Danio rerio: one gene and its partners. The protein of the gene in region 1 purifies or fractionates together with the protein of each later gene. This does not show direct contact. Links are inferred from orthologs where the notes say so. Each region holds a gene or a part of one and is shown on either strand. Other genes may lie near its edges.

The links.
Region 2: the proteins of exosc1 (region 1) and exosc10 purify together in Homo sapiens (co-immunoprecipitation; 8 studies listed by BioGRID and IntAct, counting the BioPlex papers as one, with this or other methods). This does not show direct contact. The link is inferred for Danio rerio from reciprocal best matches to the Homo sapiens genes EXOSC1 and EXOSC10.
Region 3: the proteins of exosc1 (region 1) and mphosph6 purify together in Homo sapiens (affinity purification with mass spectrometry; 5 studies listed by BioGRID and IntAct, counting the BioPlex papers as one, with this or other methods). This does not show direct contact. The link is inferred for Danio rerio from reciprocal best matches to the Homo sapiens genes EXOSC1 and MPHOSPH6.

Annotation. Positions count from the first base shown.
Region 1 is NC_133176.1:58,184,292-58,188,387, forward strand, and holds the start of exosc1 (exosome complex component CSL4), read right to left. Parts: upstream 2,877-4,096; 5' UTR 2,864-2,876; coding exon 2,836-2,863; intron 1,546-2,835; coding exon 1,430-1,545; intron 1,328-1,429; coding exon 1,253-1,327; intron 312-1,252; coding exon 223-311; intron 1-222. UniProt on the Homo sapiens protein: Non-catalytic component of the RNA exosome complex which has 3'->5' exoribonuclease activity and participates in a multitude of cellular RNA processing and degradation events.
Region 2 is NC_133198.1:16,330,619-16,334,277, reverse strand, and holds part of exosc10 (exosome complex component 10), read right to left. Parts: intron 2,151-3,659; coding exon 2,103-2,150; intron 1,966-2,102; coding exon 1,890-1,965; intron 1,785-1,889; coding exon 1,672-1,784; exon of another isoform or gene 1,173-1,671; intron 1-1,172. UniProt on the Homo sapiens protein: Catalytic component of the RNA exosome complex which has 3'->5' exoribonuclease activity and participates in a multitude of cellular RNA processing and degradation events.
Region 3 is NC_133200.1:38,538,537-38,541,703, forward strand, and holds the end of mphosph6 (M-phase phosphoprotein 6), read right to left. Parts: intron 2,741-3,167; exon of another isoform or gene 2,689-2,740; coding exon of another isoform or gene 2,642-2,688; coding exon 2,551-2,641; intron 2,196-2,550; coding exon 2,086-2,195; intron 1,390-2,085; coding exon 1,248-1,389; 3' UTR 549-1,247; downstream 1-548. UniProt on the Homo sapiens protein: RNA-binding protein that associates with the RNA exosome complex. Involved in the 3'-processing of the 7S pre-RNA to the mature 5.8S rRNA and play a role in recruiting the RNA exosome complex to pre-rRNA; this function may include C1D.

The DNA of each region.
Region 1 (4,096 bases):
AACAAGAAAGAAAAGTGTGAAAATATTAATGCCTATCTGGAAAAAGGAGTGTCGTGAGGGGTTTCACAGCCTTAAAACATCTAGAATAATTAATAATACAACAATAATACTACTTCTCGGATTTCACCTATTGCAGGTTATTTTTAGAGTGTAACTCCAGTGATTAACGAGGGATCACTGTATATTATAATAGCAGATTTACTGATATGCAAACATCTGTACCTGATTGTGCCTCTGAACCTGTCCTTTAGCGGTGTCGAACCCACATATAAGATGTGCACTTTAGCAAACCTTGGGTTGATACTCGTCACCTGGAAAGGGTGAGGAAAAACATGCATATTCAATACACTTTCAATACATAAATACAGTCATAAATTACAGTTGAACAAAGTACAACACACATGCAGTCGAAACCTTAAAGGAACACTTTACTTTTATTGAAAAGGCTCATTTTATAGTTCTCCAAGAGTTTTACCATTTTTGAATCAATTCAGCCGATCTCCAGAACACGTTTAGTTTAGCTTAGCATAGATCATTAAATCAGATTAGTCCATTAGCATTTCATGCAAAATTGAGTAAGGAGTTTTGATCATTTACCTATTTAAAGCTTGACCCTTTTATAACTGCATCATGTACCAAGACCAACGAAAAATTAAAAGTTGCTATTTTCTAGACCAATTTGGTTATAGGAACTATACTCTCATACTGGTGTATGAACAAAGAAATTTGCCGCTGTACCAATGAGTGAAGCAGGACCAATGATGATGAAAAGCACCTTAAAACAACACCAGCAGGGTAACAGCGATGCATAATATCATTGTTTCTGCTGTATCCATGGTGCAGCAAAGTTTCTTGATTATTACGCCGGAATGAGTGTATAGTCCCTATAACCAAATCAGCCTAAAAAAAGAGCAACATTTCATTTTCTGTGAGTCTTAGTACTTAATGTAACAACAGAAAACTCAACCTTTAAATTGGAATATCATATAAATGTTTAAATAATGTTTGCAGCAACATGCTAATGGTCTAATCCAATTTAATGACTTATGCTAAGCTAAGCTAAAAGAGCTCCAGCCAGACCTGAAGATCAGCTGAATGGATTCAAAAATGGTCAAACTCACTTGTTTAACTTCAGGAGAGCTGTAAAATGAGCTTATTGCCCAAAAACTGTGTTTCTTCAACTTTCGTAATAATCTGTAAATGGCTAACAAAGACACATGTGACAGATTAAGATATATCAAAACCGATATACCTTACAGGTGACGATCGCACCGACGTCAGGCAAAAGTTGCGCTTCTGTCTCTCTAACAACTGAAATCACCGGCAACTAGAAATCAAGTCGGGAGGAAAATTAAGTACTCGGTTATGAAGAAACATGGACTTCTAAGCTGAAATTTAATCTGCATGAGAGCAGCAGAGGTGAACTGACCTCCTCTCCCTCATTCTTCCTCAGCACGTATCCTGCTAGTGAAGCGAAGATGTAGCCGTGCCGCAGATACGTGCCTGTACCAGGAATACAGTCCTCTGTGCTGCAAAGCCTTTCGCCTGCAGGACACACACACACACACACACACGTGAGGCATGCTACAGAAAAATGCATAAATCATGTACAGTACTGCTGTCATAATAGAGAGTCTATAAGCCATGACGAACACAAACACATCCACAGTTTGGCCTCAAGCTGACATGTTAAAATTAGTCTATTAACTGCATAATAATTGTAATAAACTTATAACATAGTGACTTTATGATTAGGACATGAGATTTGGTCTGTTTACTATGAATGCTTATTTCAGCCAAGAAATAAGTATGATAAAGGTACAGTTATGTGAAATATTTCAATATTTCATATTTTTCAAATATTTCCCAGACCATGTTTAATAGACCAAAGGCATTTTCAAAGTATTTCCTTTAATGTTTTCTTCAGTAGTATTTTTATGTGCGTGTGTTAAACATGTATATATTATGTACATGTGAAACATAAAAAACAGTTTTGAAAAGATAGATATTTAAATTTATATACAATTTGTAACACACACACACTTAATGTCAATATATGTCAAATATTATAACTATTTTAAATAATGAAAAATAAAATAATAAATATAATAAAATAATAGAATGATAAAATAATAATAAATAAATGCATTACAACAAAATAGTCCATTAACAAAAACAAGCAGGTTTACATTTCAACTAAAACAAAACCTCTTACACAAAAGCTCTGGCTAAGTGTATATAAGTGTATATACATTTACACTAGTGCATATCTAGCTAGTAAGTGATTACGAGACTTTCCACTCCCGACTAAACGAAGAGTTGCAATTATATTCAGCTACAAATGCAGTCCACAAATAAACATCATAAATCTGGATTTCCTGAAGCAAATCAAGCCTAAAGTGATGAGAGCAGATCGCGTCAGCGGATCGTGTAGAGGCAGAAGAGCGAGTGTTTGAGGGCAGGTATGCATGACAGCCCCGGGCGGTGGGCAGGGCTCGCCAAACGAGTCTTTAAACCCCACAAACTCATCCACAAACGCGATTATTTACAGTGTGCTTGCAATCAGCTAAAATAGCATCTTTATTGGCATATGTTGACTGAAGTCGAAGACATGAGACTTGTTTACAGCGTCATAACAGTCGCGCGTGCTGACGATTCAGCCCTACAGCAGTACACGTGAACGCTTCGAGACGCAAAACTATCCGCAACTTACATCAAAGCTCATAAAATGTCACTATATGCATAAAGGATCAACACATAGCCAAGATATGTCAGCAATAAGACGCCAAACATAAAAGTAATCCCCCAAAAAACATGTGAATAACAGCGACCCACCTGGAACACACAGCTTCATGGGCGACATGTTTTCAAGAAGCAAGATGAGCCTTGTGATTGGATATTAGTCTGACAGGAGCTCGCGCTCTGATTGGTCAGTTCAGCATGTGTGGGTTAAGCAAACCGCCATATTTGTTGTGGCAGTATATTTTTTAGTTTTTTATTAACGTTAGATACATAAATCATGAATACAAATGAAACAATTATACAAATGAGTACATATTTATGGTACACATTAGTTTCTAATACATAAATGTAACAAAAGAGCACGAAAGAGTATTGTGGCAGTAAATGTAAACGTTTTGAGAGAATATACACTGACTGGCCACTTTATTAGGTATACCTTCCTAGTACAGGGTTGGACCCCCTTTTGCCTTCAGAACTGCCTTAATCTTTCCTGGCAGAGACTCAACATGGTACTGGAAATATTCTTCAGAGATTTTGCTCCATATTGACATGGAAGCATCCTGCAGTTGCTGCAGATTTGTCGGCTGCACATCCATGATGCGAATCTCCCTTTCCTCCACACCCCAAAGGTGCTCTATTGGATTGAGTTATGGTGACTGTGGAGGCCATTTGAGTACAGTGAACTCATTGTCATGTTCAAGAAACCAGTCTGAGATGATTCACGCTTTATGACATGGTGTGTTATCCTGCTGGAAGTAGCCATCAGAAGATGGGTACACTGTGGTCATAAGGGATGGACATGGTCAGCAACAATACTCTGTTGGCTGCTGACATGATGTTTTTTTGGTGCTAATGAGCCCAAAGTGTGCCAAGAAAATATCCCCCACACCATCACACCACCACCTCCAGCCTGAACTGTTGATACAAGGCAGGATGGATCCATGCCTTCATGTTGTTGATGCCAAATTCTTACCCGACCATCCAAATGTGGCAGCAGAAATGGAGACTCATCAGACCGTGCGGCGTTTCTCCAATCTTCTATTGTCCAGTTTTGGTGAGCCTGTGTGAATTGTAGCCTCAGTTTCCTGTTCTTAGCTGACAGGAGCGGCACCCGGTGTGGTCTTCTGCTGCTGTAGCCCATCTGCCTCAAGATTGGGCGTGTTGTGTGTTCAGAAATGCTCTTCTGCAGACCTCGGTTGTGACAGGTGCTTATTTGAGTTACTGTTGCCTTTCTAAAAATTAGCCATAGCTTTAATACAACTAACAAAAAAATCACTTAAAAGTCTGTGTGAAATCGAAATTTACAATGTTTATTTTGCTAGCGCACATTGTTATTCTGAGGTTAAACATGTAA
Region 2 (3,659 bases), on another chromosome or scaffold:
TGTAGGTCTGCCTTTTTGACAGCTGATTGGTCAGGAGACCGATCTATCATCATTTGGCGACGCAGCGCGGGAATGTGAAAAGCATGTCAGGAAGAGCGGGAGAGAGAGCGCTTTTTCCTTTGATCTCGTTTTTTGTGTATTTTTCTGACATGATTATGATTTTCGTTGTTTTTGCTTAACTTTCGTTTAGGCAAAATTATTTTGCATTACTTTTGCCCACTTTAAGTAATTTTGTGAGGTTTGTACATTTTTATTTCAATTGATTTGTATATTATTTTTTGGCTCCGCTCCTTCCCGACAATACAGCTGTATCTCCTCAAGTTCAGTCTTAGTGTAAGGTGGATAGGGAAAATGTCATACGATTTCCATTTTGCAAACACGTAGAAAATGTATTGTTAAAGACATCAGGTAAGAGGTGAAGGTCATCTTTGTTTGTTTTATTCAGTATAGGGAAGAATGCGGCGCACGGCGCTGAAGACCTTTTTTTCTTTTCATCAGTTTTAGCAAGGTAAGGGGTTATTCATGAGTTAGAATTGTTTTGTTATATTTATTTCTTTTGTTTGTCTTCACTATCACCCCCTTGCTCGAGTTTAACTAATTTTTGTTTGATACTTTTGTTTGAATTTGTTACTTTATTATATTATTTTTATTAGTGTAAATATTTCTCTTTTTTGTATATTTGGGCATTATTCTGGTTTCACTTTTGTACATTAAATCACTTTTGTTGGCAGTTCTGTTGCTTACACCCTCACATTGTGAAATTACCACACTTTTTAAATGTTTTTCCTTACAAGTAAGTTTCGTGAAACAGTTTAGACAGACAGGCGTGTGCTTTGTCTACGACATGAATTCTATTCCTGTACTCAACTGGAAAACCAAAATGTTTCCACACAGATGACTTAAATGTGTCTGGGGAATCTGCAATCTCAGTACTATGTGAAGCAGCCATCCTGCGTCCAGTAGTAACGAGTGTGATGCTTACTCAAGTCACATGACATAACATGCACTAAAATACTAACTTTAGAATATAATATTTAGAACAAATCCTCATCATTACTAAAATAATTTAATCAAATGTGATAATAAAGATGTGTTTAAATTGGTTCAGAGTTTCGCGATATGTATCGTGGTTGGTGTATCGCGATATTTCGGTTCGGTTTTAATATCGTTACACCCCTAATATATATATATAAATATATATAAATCTAGTTTTCAAAAATATACAAATTTTGACCTGCTTCGCCAATCTTTTTCTCAAAAAAAAAAACTTTAATGCAAATATTTATAAATATGTTAATATAAAGTATATACTCATGTGCTTTTCAGCTGCAGGACTGAATGGCTGTTGCCTACATATGATTATCTCCACATACCCCATTGCGATGTTATGTCTATGTGTTTATGTGCTTCTTGCTGGGGCTTGTTCTTCCCCTGACCTCACACTGCCCTACTTTAAGGACAGTCTGGGAGGGGCTTTTTCCCCTAATATATCTTATTTTCTCTTTCTAAAGATACCGCTCATCTGACCTGTCTATCCCTGAAATGTGTGACGTGTGTATGGTCGGAGGAGTCCAATTTCGCTACATGTAACAGTGTATGTGACAAATAAAGGCTTCTTCATCATCATCATGATCGTCATCATCACCATCATCATCATCATCAACTACTCACCGCAAATAGACTGATTTTTGCTGGAGCAGTCAGACCATGCACTGATTTTTTCTCTCTATCCACACTTTCCTCATCTTCCTCTGAGAACAGCATTCCAGGTTTGGTTGGGGTTTCTACACCAGTGCAGAAAACATTAATCTAATCATCAAACTTATTTAAAATATAAAAATTAAAGGCAAATAAACACTCATGACATTCTTATTATTATTTACACCTACCAAAAGAAGAAAGGTCCAGGAAGTCACTTTCAGAGGAGCGTGACGTGTCATGGGGTCCGAATAAAGTAGACTGTGGCTGTAAAACAACAGCAGTAAGGAATAAACTCCTTGCACCAGTTCAAGGCATACTGAGCCATATAAAATATGCATATTGGTATTGAGGCATATTAACAACAATAATAAAAACAATCTGTTGAATGAATGTCAACACACCTTTCGTTTAGGGGTCATTGATTTCCTCTTTTGAGCTACTACCTCTGCCTGAAGAGAGACAACATTAGTAATCACTGATCCATTATATAAAAATATGACAAATTATAGCACTGCTGCATTCACACAAAGAATAAAATCTAACAATATACATTTTTACCTTTTCTTTATATATAAAGACAATGAAGTCCACACCATATCTTTAGATCACATTTAGAATTATTGTCTTCCAGCGAATGAAGCATAAAAACATCAACAGCCAATTAAACTCTTCCTGACTCTAATGAGCATGAACAATTAAAGTGGCAGAAGCCTAAAGAGTATGCAGAGAAGGTTATCAGGAGTGCTGGTTTGGGATATGGAACACTTCTTAAATTTATGATTCCCTGAATCTCCTTGTATTTATGCTTTTGTAGAGCTTAAGTTAAAAATGATATAAATATACACATGCTAGGAATGGGAATGTTTTTGAAATTATTATTTTTTTAATTAGGTTCTAGTCAAGATCCAGTACATGTGTTTGTTTGTTGTGTTACTAGGGTTATGCCCTACTGCAGTGAAAGACTATAGAATACACAAGAGATGTCATGTGTTTAGTTTTGAATTTGGGAAAAATGTAACGGCAAAGACTATAGAATACACAAGAGATGTCACTCGTATACTTTTGAATGGGGAAATGTGTAATTGTCAATATGGCGATTGAAGCCCCGCTTTCTAGTACAGGAGCCAATCAGCAATCGCTATATGGTGACTAAAGCCCACTTTTTAGTACAGGAGCCAATCAGTGATCGTTATAGAATGACAATTCTCCGGGGTAGGGGTTTGGACCAGATGTTAGTTTCTGCAGATTTTGTGTGATACAAACATTTAGAAATTAAACTAAATAGACAGCTGTTGTTTAGTTTTATTGGTTATTCGTAATATGTAATCGCAAGCTTGGCTAGTAGTTTTAGAGAATTTGATGTTTCTCCTTTCAGACAGAATGGCAGAGAGAGCCGCTTCAAAGATGGCCACCGAGTGAAATGACTTGCCTTAAAGGGACTTTGGTACTGGTCAATATTGCGAATGAAGCCTCACCTTCTAGTACACGAGCCAATCAGCTATCACTGTAAACTAAAGATTCTCTAGCTGGCATTAGACGATAACCGTTTTCAAGGTATACCGTGGTTTGAAAAAGTCAAGGTTTTAAAACCGCCAACATTTTCTGCTAAGATTTTTTTATTTACATTATTTTAATTTAGTTTTTAGGGAAACAGTATCTCCAGCAGAAAAAAATATCAAAAAAGGCTGTTTTAAACTGTAAAGAAATCTGTTTTTAAAACAAATAAAGATAGCAGAAGTCAATAATTCACTTTCATTATTCAGCCTGACATGTTTACTGCAACAAAATATCATAAATGTTTCTCAAAATAAAATTTATTGTGTTCAAAAGGGAAAAAAGTTTTAGATTTTTTTTTTAACCAGACGTTTAAAAATAATATATTTTAAAGCAGTAAACACAACACCGTGAAACCGTGATATTTTATCCATACCGTCAGAATGCAATACCGGCCCATGCCT
Region 3 (3,167 bases), on another chromosome or scaffold:
ACCGTCACCACAGTCAAGAGCACTCTGCAGGTCTTCATTCAGGATGTCTCTGTACATCGCTGCATTCATCTTTCCCTCTATCCTGACTAGTCTTCCAGTTCCTGCTGCTGAAACACATCCCCACAGCATGACGTTCAATTTTAGTCTCAGAGCAGAGAGTTTAGTTTCTGATGCTCTGAGAGTCCTTCACATTGGTAAACTCCAGGCGGGGAGTGTCTTCCGTCTGGTCACTCTACCATACAGGCCTGATTGGTGGATTGCTGCACAGATAGTTGTCCTTCTGTAAGGTTCTCTTCTCTCCACAGAAGAACGCTGGAGCTCAGACAGAGTGACCATCGGGTTATTGATCACCTCCCTGACTAAGGCCATTCTCCCCCGATCACTCAGCTTACATGGCCGAGGTTCAGCGAAAGGCTGTGAATACTGATGTACACGTGATTTTACAGCTTTTTTATTTTCAATAAATTTGCAACAATTTTAAAAACTTTTTCACATTGTCATTCTGGGGGATTGTGAGTAGAATGTTGAGGAAATAAATTGATTTAATTCATTTTTGCATAAGGCTGTGACATAAAAAGTGGAAAAAGCGCTATCAATATTGTCTAAATGCACTGTATGTCATTGGGGTGATTGGGGAGAAAGAGTTATCAGCGTTTTTTTTTCCCTGTTGTAAAGTCATGCTGTGCGTAATTTCCTGTCACTGATCCATTATACAATGTGAACACAGCAGCAATGGATTTTGACCCCAGATAGTCGTGCAATGTCAATATTAAATAACTGTTCGAATGTTGAATTATGCTATAGTAAGTTCTGCAGTCTTTTTTACACTATGAATAACCTTTTTTTAACATTTCCAACACAATCTCATCAATCTGACTTTCTGACTCATGAATATATTGTTTCTGTGAGAGAGCAGATTTCACTCTACAGCATATCGTCTAAACAGCATATTGGTTAAGTGTCATTAATGTGATTCTCTCTTAATGATTATTTAAAAACAACATGGAAGTTCTACACATCATTTTTTAAAGAATTGGTTAAGAAACTCTGGTCAGGATCTACTACGCTTTTCAACGATGGTACATTTAATTGTCAAAAAACCCCTTAGTGCACCATCCACTAGTGCTTTTCCCATAAAAGACAGTCTTTTAACAATGCATTTGTTGTTACCAAACAGAAAAAAATACTACTAATAAAAAAAGAAGTCCATTGCATAAAAAATAAAGCATTTACAGATTTAAAATGTCTCAGTCCTGTGGCTTCATGAAAGCTCGTTTGGGTCTAATATCATCAGTGACGTTGCAGTTGACATCCTCTTTGTTTGAGACAGCACTGCGATCTCTTTTCTTGGCGAACTTTTTCCTCATGCTCTCAACCAAACTTTGATACCTGTAAAACAAAAGCAAAAATCAAGGTTTTCATCTGCTGGTGATGTCCACATTCGAAACCATTACAATTTTGTTTCGAACCAGTGGTTTCGGTGCGCATTTCCAATTGGCAAGGTCACAGGATTTCATTCAAATTGAGCTTCGTTATGGTCAATATGGTTTCGAAATTGCTTCCCCACAAGGGGGCGATCTGTGCAATATAAAATCTACAAGAATCACGCAGATTCATTCAGGTCGCCCCCCAGTGGCCAATCACTGAACAGGTTTCACTGATTGATCTCGGATTAGTTTTACAAATTTTGTTAAATATTTTAAGGAGATGTGTATAAAATGAAAAGGAGTAATGGTTAAAAGTAGCTAATAGTCTCCTCCTGGCCTGTTTAGCAGTTTAACAAGCAATATATAAGCCTTGAAAACATCTAAATGAAAGAACATTATGCAGAGACTTAACATTTAATGATCTTAGATGACGAGCCAAGTTTATTTATAGGTTAAACTTTCAATTTTAATATGTTTGGGAGTCAATTCTAATGCATCTTTTGTTTGAGTGTTGACCAGCAGGGGTTTCTAGCATGTGCGGTTTCGAATTGCTTTAGCGAAGTAATTGGTAAAATTGTTTAGACGCTTCATTTCATCACTATCCTCGTATATATATATAACAGATGTGTAGATTACAGATGTATTTGTCCTTGCTCACCTTTTGGCCATCTCTTCATCCGTAATATCGGTTTCCATTTTGTTCATGCTCTCGTCCTCCTCTTCTTCATCCTCTTCCTCTCTTGGTGCGTTCATTAGTAACATTAATTTCTGCAACAGATTCAGACTTGTGATGAATAAACCCCACTTTAGATTACAGGTGGCTATCAGTGGCTATAATTAGAGCAAGACGTGCATTTTCAGCTCATTGTTAAAGGCACAGTATGTAAATTTAGCCACTAGAGGGCGTGTATTCACAACAAACAAAGGTGTGTTTTGATGACTGAGTGAAAAATAAAGATATAATAAACTGTTCAAGTGGCTTTTGAATATGTTAATACAAATAAAATCATACATATTGTGCCTTTAGCTTATTCTTCAGATTATGCTCCAATAACGTGAACACAATAATTGAGAACAGTTAACAAAACGGAAGCAAACGGCTGTAAACGGATGAAAGCTGTACCTCCACGTCAGGATTGAAGCCTTTGAATGACATTCTGCCGTAAACCAGATCCTCACAGGGAACGAAACTTCTCTCCTCGATGATGTGGTTTCTGGCAAAGTTAAAAATACCTTGTAATTTTGTCAATTTAAGAGACATTTTGATAAACCATCAGATATCCATAAGGCAACGAATATTTGCTAATGTCAGACTGCATTAGAACTAGAATCATTTTTAATGGGGTACATGCATTAGGACTTTCATTTTAAAGTGTCCTGGTTCAAACGCTGTATGCTAGGGCTGTGCAATTTGGGGAAAATATCTTAATTGCAAAATTTTTTTAACAGATATTTAGATTTGATTTGCAATTTAATATTGTAGACATTTTAGGTACTGGTTGTATTTCCTCATGCCTGCAACAATCCTGCGGCAGCTCTTACAAATAACCTTTTTTTGTTTGGTGTCTGTGAACAAAATATTCCCATATCACTGACGTGCGTTTTTTTCTTTAATAATATTTAGTCTATTAATGCGGAAGACGCCATCATCCCACTCATCTGTTTGTTTGTTTTATTGTGGGCGTTCCCCATAATCCGGCAGTGCAATTCTGATTGGGCAGGATGAAAGCGTGCACACTT